Linked DNA regions of Canis lupus familiaris. The protein of the gene in region 2 purifies or fractionates together with the protein of the main gene of each other region. This does not show direct contact. Links are inferred from orthologs where the notes say so. Each region holds a gene or a part of one and is shown on either strand. Other genes may lie near its edges.

The links. The genes of interacting proteins can lie anywhere in the genome.
Region 1: the proteins of MGRN1 (region 2) and MC1R purify together in Homo sapiens (affinity purification with western blotting; 3 studies listed by BioGRID). This does not show direct contact. The link is inferred for Canis lupus familiaris from reciprocal best matches to the Homo sapiens genes MGRN1 and MC1R.

Annotation. Positions count from the first base shown.
Region 1 is NC_049226.1:64,184,475-64,191,294, reverse strand, and holds MC1R (melanocyte-stimulating hormone receptor), read left to right. Parts: upstream 1-3,651; coding exon 3,652-4,605; downstream 4,606-6,820. UniProt on the Homo sapiens protein: Receptor for MSH (alpha, beta and gamma) and ACTH. The activity of this receptor is mediated by G proteins which activate adenylate cyclase.
Region 2 is NC_049227.1:37,018,542-37,026,218, forward strand, and holds part of MGRN1 (E3 ubiquitin-protein ligase MGRN1), read right to left. Parts: intron 7,040-7,677; coding exon 6,992-7,039; intron 6,386-6,991; coding exon 6,317-6,385; intron 5,037-6,316; coding exon 4,877-5,036; intron 3,004-4,876; coding exon 2,894-3,003; intron 2,420-2,893; coding exon 2,345-2,419; intron 735-2,344; coding exon 669-734; intron 1-668. UniProt on the Homo sapiens protein: E3 ubiquitin-protein ligase. Mediates monoubiquitination at multiple sites of TSG101 in the presence of UBE2D1, but not of UBE2G1, nor UBE2H. Plays a role in the regulation of endosome-to-lysosome trafficking.

The DNA of each region.
Region 1 (6,820 bases), on a different chromosome or scaffold from region 2:
TGATTGAGATAATCCCAGACTATCCTAGATCTACATGTCTCCCACTAGGGTATCCTGCGATAAGCTTCAGCCAACAGGATAGGAGTCTACTGGGTTCCCCCAGAAAGGGGTTGGTCCTCTGATAATGACAGGCAAGCAAGAAGAACTTGGTACTCTGCATCATCCAGCCTTAAATACAACCAGATGGGATTGTGATATCCGGAGCTGCAGCAGCCATTTTACGATCAGGAGTTGCTGACCCTCAAAATGAAGAGCCAGTGTCCTAGAGATAGGCAAAGAGAGGCTGGGCCCAGACTGGTGAAACTGCTCACTTCTGGGCCTGCTGTCCCAAGAGATTATTAAATCATCAGTGCTCAGCTAAACCTCTTGGGTTAGGTCATTACTTGTAGCTCTGTTTCCATGGAGATGAAAAGACAGCCACCTTTTTCAAATCTGAACATCTGCTCTGAAGGCTTGCCTTGCCACCCAGTGTCCAGGCAAAGGTGAATTGGCTCTTCCCAGGCCTCCTGCTGCCCGTGGACAGATTGCTAATAGTTTATGCTCTTTCCCACCAAGTCAGGCCCTACCTCAGGGTCTTTAGGGCAGACACCACAGGTAGGGCACACAAGGTGTTCCCCTCACTGAGTTCAAAGACTTCATGGTGACTCAGCTCTGGGCTGGGTCTTCCTGAGATCCCACGATGACAAGATCCAGGAGGAGCGAGCTGTATACCCCACATGGCTGCTGGGGGGGGTGGAGGGTAGGAGGGCTGCTGTGTCTCCTGACTGGCCCTGGGAGGACCTCCATGAAGGAAGCAGGGCCTCCTGGTGTGGCCATGGCTAGACACTGATCTCACTGGTCTCTGCAGTGAGAGGCCATTTACACTTCAGCTCCCACATGAAGGTCATTTACACATTGAATGCTCCCATGTTGCGGGCCTCGTGTGCAACTGGCACTCAACTGTTCTTGGTACTGGAGACAGCCACTGAGCGACTCTTGTTCTCTCAGCCTCCTCACAGATGGGTCAGGCCCATCCTCTCATGTTGATACCCTCTCATGTCCACCACCTGTCTCCTGGCCCTTCTCCGTGTCTCCCAGGAGCACTAGAGATCAAGTTGATAGAATTGGCCTTCAGATGATCTGTGATTTCATTTAGACATTTCCCTCATAACCATAACTAATCACGAAGTTGAGTGTCTTCTTCCCAAGAAGTCCCCAACGGGCACATCAGAACCAGATGGGGAGTCTCGAGGCCTCACCAGGAAGAGGTTATCCAGTTCTCACGCTCTTTGAAGTCTCATGCGGGGGCGGGGGGGGTGGGCACATCCGTCTCAAAGGCCTCATTTATGGAGCTGGAAATACCGTCCCTGCAGTGTGCTGACACAGGAGCTGGGGGCGAGGTGCCCCCTCTAGAGGGAAGGTGGTCCTTGGTGATGGACAGCTGTGGTGCTAGTCCCAGGACCCTTTGCTCCCTCTGGGGTTCTCCCATCAGGACAACAGAATGGGAAGATGCCAAGTCCACAAAAGGCAAAAAGCTGGAAGGGGAAGCTCAGTGTGTGGGCCTATCCTGTGGCTGGTGCCTGTGGGTGTGGGTTGTCTTCATCTCCTATAGGGGGAGGCGGGGGTGGTGCTCGTGTCCTGTCAGCAACAGAGGAACAAGTCCACTCCATGTCACCATGTGGACACACTTGGCCTATGTCCACCATAAGATGGGACAGGAACAGCCAGCAAGTACTGTCTGTAACAGACGGGAGATTCCCAGTGTGGTCTGTATTCTTGAAGACCGCTACACACACCACAAGGATATCTGAGTGCAAAGAAAGGCACAACCTGAATTCTAAAATAGGTAAAATTGGCAGCCCTGGTGGCTTAGCAGTTTAGCGCCGCCTTCAGCCCAGGGTGTGATCCTGGAGACCCGAGATCGAGTCCCACGTTGGGCTCCTGGCATGGAGCCTGTTTCTCCCTCTGCCTGTGTCTCTGCCTCCCTCTCTCTCTCTCCCTCTCTCCCTCTCTCTCTGATGAATAAATAAATAAAATCTTAAAAAAAATTTTTTTAAGTTTTTTAAAAATTAAAAAAATAAAATAGGTAAAATGAACCAGTGGTCAGGGAATGACTCCCAGGGTGAGCGGATGCCCTAGGTGTTCTCGGGTAATTCACATTTTATTTTTTGGTCTGGATGCTGCTTTCCTGGCTGTTAAGGTTGGGACATCCACTAACCTGCATATTTACAGTTTGTGTACTTTTATGTATGATGTACTTCAATAAGAAGCACCGTCCAAGGGGGGGAAGCCGCCTTGCTGAGCGATGCAGATGTAAGGGATGATATTTATGAGTGGTTATGACTGTGTGATCACACATGTGGGTGTGCTGGCATCAGAGTGGATGAGAGCGTGGGCTTGAACAGGAATGTCACAGATGACACTGCAGACACTGCAACCACCCTCCCAGCTTCCTCTTACGTCTCCTGCACCACCACCACCACCTCTACCCCCGCCACCTCCATCACCTCCACCACCTTCAACTCTATCTCCGCCACCACCACCAAGCCAGTCCCTTGCCTTTCTTGTTGCCTCAGGTTTTCTCCACCTACCAACAAATAGATCTCCGCCCCCCCCCACCCCCGCCAGCCTCCACAGAGGAGAAATCACAAAATCACAGTCTTTAGTGAGAAAGTGCTGGGAGTAGGTGCCCACAGGCCACTCTTAGCTTCCCTGTGGCTTGCTCAGTACACCATGTGGCTGGAGACCCGAGGTTTGCCCTTGAAGTGGTTTCTTATGCAGAGGAAGTGGTGGCTGTCGGGGTCCTCCCCCTCCCCCACTGTAGGATGAGGCAGAGCAAGGGCCTGACCCTGACGTGACCAGGATGCCCTCCAGCAGGGCTCAGTGAAGGGGGTGGGGGTCCTCAGGAGCAGGGGCTGCCCTTAGTGTCTAACATGAGGTAGGGAGTTAGGGGTTCAAGCTGGGGATGAGTGGTCAGCAGCCAGTGACTGTATCTAGGCAGGGTGGCATCAGGTGGGTGGTCAGAGATCAGACAGTTCCCAAGAGGAGGTGCTGTTTGCAGTATATTTAGGGAACCCCACATAGGCAGACACTGGGAGCGGAGCCAGGTGAGGGGGCACACATCCAGCTGAGCCCCAGCGTCCAACGTCCTTGGAGCCAGGATAGCCCTGGGTGCCATTTGTGCTGCCTGGAGGGTGCAGTGGGTTCTCTCCGATGCATGCATCCCGGGTGCACGCCCATCACGTGGCCACCTCAGGAGGAGGGGCTCCGGAGCCTTTAAAGATGTGGAGAAAGGCTTCATTCTTTCTGGAGTGGGACCTCAGCCCCCTCCAGGCCTGGGAAAGCGGGAGCCCTGAGCCGCCATGAGGCAGCAAGAAGATAGAAACGTACGTCTGAACCTGAGCAACTGCCCCTCCATGGAAGAGGTGGGGAGGTGGGCTGAGGGTCGAGGGGTCCAAAGAGACTAGAGGGTTGGGGTCCGGGCTGGGAAGCGACTGCTCTGTCAGGAAGCTGGACTCTCTCTGGCTGGTCATTGCTGAGCTGACACTTGTACAGACCGGGAGAGGGCAAATGTGAGGGCGGCCCTGGAGGACAGACAGGCCCTGCTGGTGGCACCATGAGCTGAGCGAGACACCTGAGAGCGAGGACCCTGCTCTGCTCCCTGCTGGGACCATGTCTGGGCAGGGCCCCCAGAGAAGGCTGCTGGGCTCTCTCAATGGCACCTCCCCAGCCACCCCTCACTTCGAGCTGGCTGCCAACCAGACCGGGCCCCGGTGCCTGGAGGTGTCCATTCCCGACGGGCTGTTCCTCAGCCTGGGGCTGGTGAGCGTTGTGGAAAATGTGCTGGTGGTGGCCGCCATTGCCAAGAACCGCAACCTGCACTCGCCCATGTATTACTTCATCGGTTGCCTGGCTGTGTCCGACCTGCTGGTGAGCGTGAGCAATGTGCTGGAGACGGCCGTCATGCTGCTGGTGGCGGCAGGCGCCTTGGCTGCTCAGGCTGCTGTGGTGCAGCAGCTGGACGACATCATTGACGTGCTCATCTGTGGTTCCATGGTATCCAGCCTCTGCTTCCTGGGCGCCATTGCCGTGGACCGCTACCTCTCCATCTTCTACGCGCTGCGATACCACAGCATCGTCACACTCCCGCGGGCGTGGCGGGCCATCTCCGCTATCTGGGTGGCTAGCGTCCTCTCCAGCACGCTCTTCATTGCCTACTACAATCACACGGCCGTCCTGCTTTGTCTTGTCAGCTTCTTTGTAGCCATGCTGGTGCTCATGGCAGTGCTGTACGTCCACATGCTTGCCCGCGCCTGCCAGCACGCCCGAGGTATTGCCCGGCTCCATAAGAGGCAGCACTTCATCCCCCAGGGCTTTGGCCTCAAGGGCGCTGCCACACTCACTATCCTGCTGGGCATTTTCTTTCTCTGCTGGGGCCCCTTCTTCTTGCACCTCTCACTCGTGGTCCTCTGCCCTCAACACCCCATCTGTGGCTGCGTCTTTCAGAACTTCAACCTCTTCCTCACCCTCATCATCTGCAACTCCATCATTGACCCCTTCATCTACGCCTTCCGCAGCCAGGAGCTCCGAAAGACTCTCCAAGAGGTAGTGCTATGTTCCTGGTGAGGCTGCAGGCTTGAGGCCAGGGTGCTGGGCAGAGGGGGGTGGTGATTGATACCCATGTGACTGGGGCAGTCACTTGCAGAAAAGGACAGATGAGCTGATCTGTGGTGTGGTGGATGCATGGACCCTCTGGGGCCAGAGAAAGGAATAAACAAAAATCTCCAGGAGTTGCTGTGGAGAATGGAGCAGGCTGGGGAGATGGTGGGGCCACAGACACGAGAGCCAGGTCCGGGACTACTGGACAGCATCTCTGGCTGCTCCTGGAGAGTTCCTTCTCCACCCAGGGACCAGGCAAGGCCTGCACACACCCACCTTTGCTGCCAGGTCTGGAGATTTGGGCCCCTGCCCGTTGGGATGTGAAGTCTCAGTGTTGGTAGCATGACAAGTACTGCTCTCGGGAAGGCCTCCAGGAAAAGGACTTTGTGACCAGCCAGTCCTCACAGGACTGCTTCGGGAAGAAGTGAGCTCCTGTTGCAGGCACAGGGACTGTCTACAGGAGCTGCAGTGGAGGGTAGGGCTGATCTAAAGTCCACTGGTAACCAGAGAGCTGGTGACCCAACTGTGTGCACATGCACCGCATGTACCCACCAGACAGTGTTGGTCAGTGCCTGCTCAGGCCAAGGCAGAGGTCGTCAGCCCGAATCAGTGACTGGTGCCCAGGGTCTCAGGGCTGGGAAGCTGGGAAGCAGTCTGGTAATAAATGCTGTGTCTGGTGCAGACACATCACCATCCGCTTTGCGTCCTTTGGGAAATTGCTTGCAACTGGAGGGGCGGGGCGGGGGGGCAAGGGCGGGGTTGAGGGTGATGAACAGGGAGCTGTGAATCCCAGAAACCAGGGTGGGTCTGCCTAGCTGAAGAAGCCACAGCCCCAGAGCACCTGAATGCCTGAGCCCCTGCCCAAGGAGAGAGTGTAGGGGTCCCCTGATCACACCCACTCTGGGCCTGTGTCTTAGTTTTCTCTTCCTGGTGTAAACCCCAGCTCAGAACAACCAGAGTCAGAAGCAGCAGGAATGGTATCCCTGGGTGGCTCAGCGGTTTAGCACCTGCCTTTGGCCCAGGGTGATCCTGGACCCACATCGGGATCCTGCAGGGAGCCTGTTTCTCCCTCTGCCTATGTCTCTGCCTCTCTCTCTGTCTCTCTGTCTCTCTCTCTCTCTATCATGAATAAATAAAGAATCTTAAAAAAAGAAAAAAACAGGAACAGCAGCTGCCCCCACCCCACCCCCGCCCCCAGTCACCTCCAAGGTGACATGACTCAGCACTGTCCAGGCTGCCCTTGATGGCAGCAGAAGCAGGACCACCATGACCCATATGTGACCTCCATGTCTGTTCTGAGGAACACAGCAGGGCCCCCAGGGTGTGCCAGGGGTTGGGGGCTGCTTTCCCCCACGACTGCCCTCCTGGGAGAGGGAGGTCAGTGCTCAGCCAGCTCTGGGAAGTGTTCGAGGCGAGGCCTCCCAGAATGGAGTGGGACTGTCCAAGTCCAAGCCGTGAAGGAGTGCACGTCGGGTAAACTGTGCTGCCTGTTGCCGGAAGCCCTTGGGTCCTCCTTCTGTGACAAACCTGGGTTTCTCATGGAAGAGCCCACCTGGTTTCCTCCACAGATACTGAGTGTACAGTCGACCCCCTTCCTGATACAGGTTCGGCAGTGGCAAGGGTGATGGTATCAGCCAATTTGAAGGCAGGTCTAGTAATGCCTAAAGTCTTCTGCAGCCTCTGGCCAACCACCCCCAGCACTGCCCCAGCCAGCCTCCACCTACGCTGGCAGCTTCAGCCCAGACTGCTGGCCTCAATGCCAGGAGCTGGTTCCCGGCAGGGCCAGCCTTTGCTGGGAGACAAGACAGTGAGTCAGCCTTGAACCTGGCACCAGAGCCCTCTGGGGATGGAGAGAGAACTGGCCTGGCTCACTGCCATCACGCAGGGAGGCAGGGCATGTGGGTAATGGGTCTTGGATGCTGCAAAGCTTCTTCCTTTGCTCAGACGGGGAGGTGCAGCCAGCTCCGGGGAAGAGCCAAATGCTCACCAAGGACCCCCTGAATGGGGACAGGGAGTGGCCCCAGGCAGTGGAAGCCAACCACAGAAAGCCACATCATGGACACATTGTGGGGGAGGGGTGTCTCTTGAGAACAAAAGACCCATTTCTAGACTAGCCAAACTGGAGAGCTTGGGGGACGGGGGAAGAGGGGCTTGTGCACGACCACACCCTGTCAACGCACTC
Region 2 (7,677 bases):
GTATCCGCTCCCAGCCTGCCTTCCACTGAAAGGTCAGTAATTGCTTTGAACCTCCTCATCCTCCAAAGAGGAAAAAAGCCTCTCTCTGGGTTGGCCCTCCCGTGACCTCCGCCGCTCTAAGTTCTGCTGAGGGGCCATGGGGGTCAGTAGAGGCTCCAGGCAGAGGCCCCCGCCTGCTCCCTGAGATGCAGGGAAAATGCAAGGAAACCAAGTCCTTGACCCAAAGAGCTAACATCCAAGGTGGACAGAGCAGGGGATGCAGGATGACAAGCAAGCGCGAGGAAGACTGTTTGCAAAAACTAGAAGCAAGGTGAGTGAGTTCCACCTCCAACATCATTCCACTGCCAGCAAGAAAAAAAAGGGAAACGAGGCCATTGGGGACCACGGGCAGAAGCAGAGCTGGCGAGAAGGGGCAGCCCGAGGCCGGCGCTGTTGCCGCCTGGCAGCGGGGATCCAAGACACTGGCTTTTTGCCGACAGACCTTGAGCTTTGCTTGTTCCACAAAACTCCCTTCCTGGGCAGGGACGCCGGGACTGGGGAGAGTGGATTTGACAGATTAAATTAACCAAACACGTTAGCCTGGGGTGAAAATGATTTCCCATACTTGTCATTGGTTTAATCATCAGGGTGCGGGGCAAAGATGTGGCCACAGGGCCAAACACACTTACTGTTTCCCTTTTAGGTTTCTTGCTGGCCAGTGAGGCGGGGTGCGCCTTTGATTTTTTAAAGGGACACTGTCAAGATAAAAATCATATGTTTTACAACTGCCATCCCCCAAACCGCACTGGAGCTGGCTGGCTGGGGCGTGTCTCGGGCTTGCTGGCCTCTGGGTGTGCCGTGAGCCTGTGCCTGGCAAACTGAACCTGCACATGAGGTCTGGGGACCTGGCCAAGTGCACATTCTGTAGGGCCTGGGCCTGGGCATCTTTGCAACTCCCAGAAGCAATGCCGCTGGTAGAGCCCATCCCTGTCCCACTGGCCACCGTCGTCTGGGTTACCCCGAGAAGCAGGTCCTGGCCAGCACAGGCAGGAGGCTAGCCAGGTGCTCCTCACAAGTGGGCCCCGCTGGGCACGAGAAAGGGACACCCCACCCCGTACTTCTATGAGGTCTGCCACTGTCTCATAAACTCATCACCAATGTCCAACTCCTAAAGGAAGCTGGGGAGAAAAATCAGCCCTAAATCACCCCCATTCCTCAATGACCGTAAAGGTCTCACTGAAGAAAATTTGGGTTCTCCACACCACTAGGTGCAAATTGCTCATTCAGGGAACATGGTGGAGAACCAGAGCCCGTTATTTGGCTATCTTAACTCTCTGGAGGGGAAGGCACCGGCCCTCTGGAGCATGGGAAGCTCACAACCCAAACCCAGGGCCGCCCTGTAGTGTGAGAGCCATCTCGGCACTCTCTGGATAAGAGGGACAGACATGGGAAGGTTAGGCCGGCCGCTCAGACTCCAGGGCAGAGCCTGGGAAGGGCACACACAGGCAACAAGAAAACCCACCGTCCACCCCTGAGCACCCCTCCTCTCCCAGGAACAAATCATATCTCACTGCTAACTTCTCTCTCTACTAAAACTGCATGGCTGGAGAAAATGTTCCGTGTTCCTCAGTCAAGCCCAATATTAAATACACTGGAGGGCCGTTTCGGGAGTAGTAAGCCCTGATGCCAACAGGGGCCCAGCAGGCAAAATACACTGGAAAAGTGTATTTTGTGTATTTCCAGGCTGGCCTGGAAAAGTGGGGGTGATGGGGACCCCACCTCCGAGGCAGCCTTGCATCAGCTTGAGCTGCAAGACCAGACCTTCAGATTTTGAAAGAGAAGCCAGAAATCTGAGTCTTATGGAAAATTTCCAGCCTTTAAACACTGGCCCAATATTCACACACACTGCACAGGCCCAACATGGGACACTCACCAGCGCAGAAGCCCATCTTGCGGGTGTGCGAACCACAGGGTTTGGGTCCTTTCCCTCTGAGAATCACTGAATCCCAACATCAGACTCACCGGCAGACAATGGCTGTGGCCGGGCGGGGGCGGGGCTGGGAGCTCAAGACCTGGGCCAGCCCCTCCTGTCTCTGCTGTGCCTCTCTGCCGTGTCTCGGCACCTACTTTTCTAGTCCCATCCCCGTCTGTGTCTCCTCTGTGTCTCTCCCAGTGCCTCTCTGCATGTGTCTCTCCCCATGTCTCTGTGACTGTGTCTCTGCTCATCTCTATCCATGTCTGTCTCTGCTTCTCTTTCTGTGTCTCTACATCTCTCTCCATCTTCTGCCGATGTCTTGACCCAGACAGCCATCTCTCTCCCTGAAGCCTGAGTCTGTCTCCCCTCCTTTGCGTGCAACAAGCTCACCTCGCGGTTTCCCAGGAAGCAAGTGAGGTAGGTGGCTGCCAAGGCGCTCTCCTGTGTCCAGGCTGGGCAGCCCCCCTCAGTGGACAGAGAGGACAGATCATAGTCACCCACTGGGTGAGACCTCAGCTCCTAGGACCCATATGGTGGCCCTGGCTATCTGGCCTGGTAGAATGATGGTGACAGACATTCAAACTCAATGGAGGGTTGCGTGCCGTCAGATGGCCTTTGCTCTCGGCAAAAACAACAATACTCTCAGGACCCGGGGCTCCCTGGGCCCAGCCTGGGTCACCCCATTCGGCCAGATGAGGACGGAGGCCCAGAGAGCCGGCAGGCAGTGAGAAGCAGACAGCCTGGCCATGCCCTTCCTTCTGGCCACAGGCCCAGGGCCTCTGACCAATGCGGCCCCACTGGGAAGCCGAAGCTGTCCTAACATGAAGGGTAAAGCCTGAGGGCGTCCGGACTGAGAGACTAAAAATGGGCAGGGGCTTCCTGCAGAAACCCCCTGTTCTCTGGCCTCCACTCCACAGCACAGAAGAAAGAGGCACTTACTGAATGTTCATCGTGGTCCATGCTCTGGGCCAGGACAGGGCTGAAGGAGACGGGGGACAGGGCTCCCGGCTTCTTCCTCACTGCCCGGATCTGCAGAAGGGCCCGGAAAGCTGTGGCAGAGGGAAGGGCTCCCATCAGGCAAGGGGCAGCCAGTTCCGGAACCACGGAGGCCCTTTAAGCCCCGGGGCCACCGGCCACCCACCCACCCACAGTGGTCCTAGGACAAGCCACATTTCCAAATCAGAGGCAAAACAGAGTGATCACCAAACCGCCCCAGAGGGGAGACGGGAGCCCAGGAGTGCACTACCCAGTTCAGGTGGAGCTTCCAGGGCAGCAGGGAGGGTGCCACCAGCCTCACACATGCCAAACCCGGGACTACACCCTTGAATGTGGTGGCGGCATCATTCCTGGCGACCAGGTATCTCCTCCCGGAAGTTACACCAAGGACAGGCAAACATACATATGCGAATGTCCCTAACAGCACAATCTCTACACCACAAAACCAGAAGCAGCAAGAATTGGGAAAATAAATTAGGACCAAGCTACTGGTCACCCTGATCAGTGTCCCTAATAAGAGTGTAATGCTGGGGTACCTGGGGGGCTCAGTGGTTGAGCATCTGCCTTTGGCTCACTGTGTGATCCCAGGGTACTGGGATCGAGTCCCACATCAGGCTCCTTGCAGGGAGCCTGCTTCTCCCTCTGCCTGTGTCTCTGCCTCTCTCTCTCTATCTCATGAATAAATAAATAAAATCTTAAAGACAAAAAAAACAGCGTAACGTTTATGAAAAGCACAGGTCACACACGGTAAACAGCTGCACACTGTCCCAGCACCTGCTAGTGACACCCACATCTCTAGCGCTGATGGTGGCTGCCCCAAGCTGCAGGCCTCAGAGACAAGGGCCCTGGCCCAGCTCACCCAGCCCAAGTGCCCCCCACACCTGCCAGGGGCCCATGCCCTAGCCCATCTGGGCCCCTGGGCCGTCACACCATGCCGCACCTGAGAACACCAGACACAGGGCCCCTGGGGAAGGCTGGCATTCAGCTCCTGCTCCCAGCCTGTTCCTCACCCAGGAGAGGCTACCCGGCCTGCTGCCTGTCCCTCTAGGGCCAGCACACAGACCCCCTGCGGCCACCCCTGCAAGCCCTGAGGTCTCATCAGGGCTGGACTCCGGACCGCCCAGACCCCACAGCCTCCCCCTCCACTTCCACACGCTCAGCCTACCCCACGACCCCTGCACACACCTCACCACTAGTTTAGACCCAACCCTGCCCCTTACCAGCTGTGACCCTGGACAGGCTCCCTCTGAGCCCCAAGATACTGACGAGACAAGCGTGTAAAGCAGTCCGGGCCACACAGCCGGATGCTGGTACAGGAGCGCGGGCTGAGGCACGGGTACCCCCAGGCTGCCCTGGAGGCTGACAGGCACACCAAGGTGTGAAATGGCACGAAGACTTTCTCCAAAAAGCCGTCAGCTCCCGACAACTGAAAACCCCCGGAGTCCAGGGCGGGCTCTCCCCCTACAGCCCTGGCCCTTCACTGCTGGGACCCGCCCACTGGCTGGACGCTCATTTCGATCCAGCGGGATCTTCTGCCCTGAGAATGTCTGGATTCCTTCCACTGGAGGACGAACACCTGATTCAGAATTAACTTTGAGAAAACGTCTGGAGTGCTCCTGGAAACGAACTCCTGTCGGCTGTCCACCTCACCAGGACTGTTTTTTTACAATCAAAATATTGTCCACGTAACACTTAAAGGTGTGATTCACAGGCCACTTTCTGTCCCGTTCCAAGTTCACGGCAAGCACCTGCCCTGGCACCGTTCCTGCCGTTAACTCCCGAAGTCTAATGTTCGGGGACGTGAGCCGCACATGTGCCAGCACGGTTGCCAGGGGTACTGACCACCTGCACCAAGTACACGTCCCACTCGCTGTGCCCGGGGCAGGAGGCGACAGCCCGCAGCCCCCTAGCCCTGGCCCCACTCACGCAGCCGGCAGATGGGGCAGTTGCTGGCCTGGTAGCGCAGCGTGTCCGCACACGAGTTACACAGGCAGAGGTGCCGGCAGGGCAGGATCAGCGTGTCCCGCAGGTCCGACAGGCACACCACACACTCGTTGCTGTTGTCGCTATTCTCCTCGTCCGAGGGCTGCGGGGACACGGAGGGTCCGAGTGTCAGCGGGCTCCCCAGGGCCACAGGCAGAGGCCAGGGCAGGGAGGTGTTCCCATCTTCAGGGGACACGGCCCAGAGCTCAGACCCGGCTCGTGCCTGCCCCCAACACACACACCAAACCAAGAAAACCCAGGTTTCCTCCTATTCCCCAGAACCACAGAGCAGCGTGGAAAGGCCACAGTACAGGCATGTCTTACAGAGGGTGCCCACATACTGGGTTGAAACTGAAAAAAATCAGACAAGTCCACCTTGTCTAATCAAAATGAGTGTCTGGATCAAGAGACGACAACCCTGTAAAAGAGCAAACTACAGCCCCACCAGCTGTTTCTGTAAATCAAGTTTTACCGGAACCCAGCCTTGCCCCTTGGTTTCCAAACGGCAATGCTGCTTGTGTGCAATCTGTAAAATCAGGGCACTGAACAGGCATGACAGACGCCACATGGCCACTGAAGGTGACAACACATACCACCAGGCTGTTTGTGGAAGGGGGTGCTGACACATGAAGCACGCAGAGAACACTCCGAGACTAAGGGCCTGACCAAAGTGCCCTGACTTCCGGCTTTCAGCCGGTCCCAGCTGTCACAGAGGCTTGCGTTTAAGACTTCCAGAAACGTTTAAGAGATGGCAGTGTCACTCGTGCCTTTCAAATGATGACAAAGGCACAGGCCGATGCTCGCCAGACCACAGCTCCGTCAGCCACACGCTTTGGCCACAGGTGTGCAGAGGGCTCGGGGCTGGGGGCCTGGGGGGGGGGGTGCCGCTGGCGGGGGCCACTAGAGCTCACCCCAAGGGGGTGGGAAGGGGCCCCACACACCAGGCTGTCCCTGTCCACACAATGGCTGGCAACCCAAAGATGTTAATAAGCCAGGGAATTTGTTGGAAAAAGAATAAAATGCCCCATAGGCTCTGTTAACTCTTCTATTTATTCATTCATTACTATTATTATGATCTTTAAGTAATCTCAACAGCCAACATGGGGCTCAAACTTACAATCCCAAGATCAAGGGCTGCACACTCACTGACCCAGCCACCCAGGTTGCCCTTCTCTGTGAAAGCCTTTGAAAAGTTAAAGAAACCTGGAGTCTGGGGTCCTGGGGCCCCCTGGGGAAGGCACACAGGGGACTAGCCCACGGGGCCAGGGCCAGGGCTGGGGGTTTCAGGCAAGCCCCTCCAGGAGCCGGCTCCCGGGCAGGTGGAAGGGAAGATGAGAGTGAGGTCCACCCACAGTCCCAGCCAAGGTCGCCACCAGCGCAAACCTTGGTCTCCTGGTTGTTCTTGTTCTCGATGCCGTAGATCTCCTGCAGCAGGTAGCTGACCCGGTCCACCTAGAGAACACAGAGGTATCCGGGCACTGGCCGGCCCCATTCGGAAGCCCCGCTGCACCCCCCTGGCCCAACACCACTTCCCAGGGGCCAGGCCTGGGTCCCAGAGCAGGTGTGGTTTGAAATTCTGCCCACCTGCACCTCAGCGAGTGGGCCCGGGGCCAGGAGGAGCATACCTGGCCCAGCCCAGCCCAGTGAGTGACACAGGCAGAAGGGCAGGGGCTGGGGGCCCAAGGTTCTGCTCACCGAGGGGCATGGAGCCAACCTCCACTCGGGCCAGGCAAGCATACCCTCTCCACCTACCCTCCCCCTCCCCAGGGAAAAGCCACTTTGAACCACCCATCACAGCTGCACAAGAGTGACCACACGTCACCGTGCTCAAAAGCAGTCTGAGCTGCATTTCCCACCTAGCCCTAAGGAGGTCGAACCCTCCTCACCGAGCTGGGCGAAACTTGGGCTACGAGTCAATACTGGGATGTGGTGGGCGCACGCATGCACAGAGGGGCAGATTCGGACTTTCCAGAGCCCAGATGACAACTCTGGACATTGAGTGTGTTTGAGGGCCTTTAATATCAAAAGAGGTCACAATGTTTCTCCTACCAGACTTACAATTTGCTTCTGCTTTAAAGGTTTCACAGAGAAGCTGCCATCGACGTGCTACCAGGGAGAAAGACACAGAGTTACAAGCTGGTACCACTTAGCAGCCCCGCCTGGCAGGCTGAAGGCCCTTCCTCAGCCATTCCACATCCACAGCGGAAGGACAGGGCCCGGCCAGGTCTCTCCAAACGTGGCCCTCTGACTGGGCCTTGAAACTACCGGGAGTACCGCCTGACCCAGGTAACCCAACTCTCCAGGCAGTTCTCAAGCTCAGTCAGGTTTATGACCACTGGGCAAGTTCTGACAGGGACCAGAGCCCCCCAACAGCAAGCAGCAGTACCTGGACGGCAAGAAGTGACACAGCCCACTTCTAACCCCAAAGGGCTTGGCTTCACTGAGAAGACTGTGCACACGCATATGTATAAGGAAAGCCCAAAGTCCTAAAAACTCTGAGAACTAAAGAAGGTAAACGGTGAATGTGCTGGGTGGCATCTGGGGAGACACACCATCCAAAGTTCGAGGTTCATGAAGGTATGAGATCCGAGACTCATGAAGCCACCAGTTAAGTCACCCCTCGAAGTCAACTGAGACCAGCACTCAGCATTTTCAGTGGGTTGGACTCCAGAGAGAAAGCAGTTTCTCACTGGGCTCTAAACTGGAAGCGCAGACAGAATTTGCCATCACCCGCCCGCTCACCA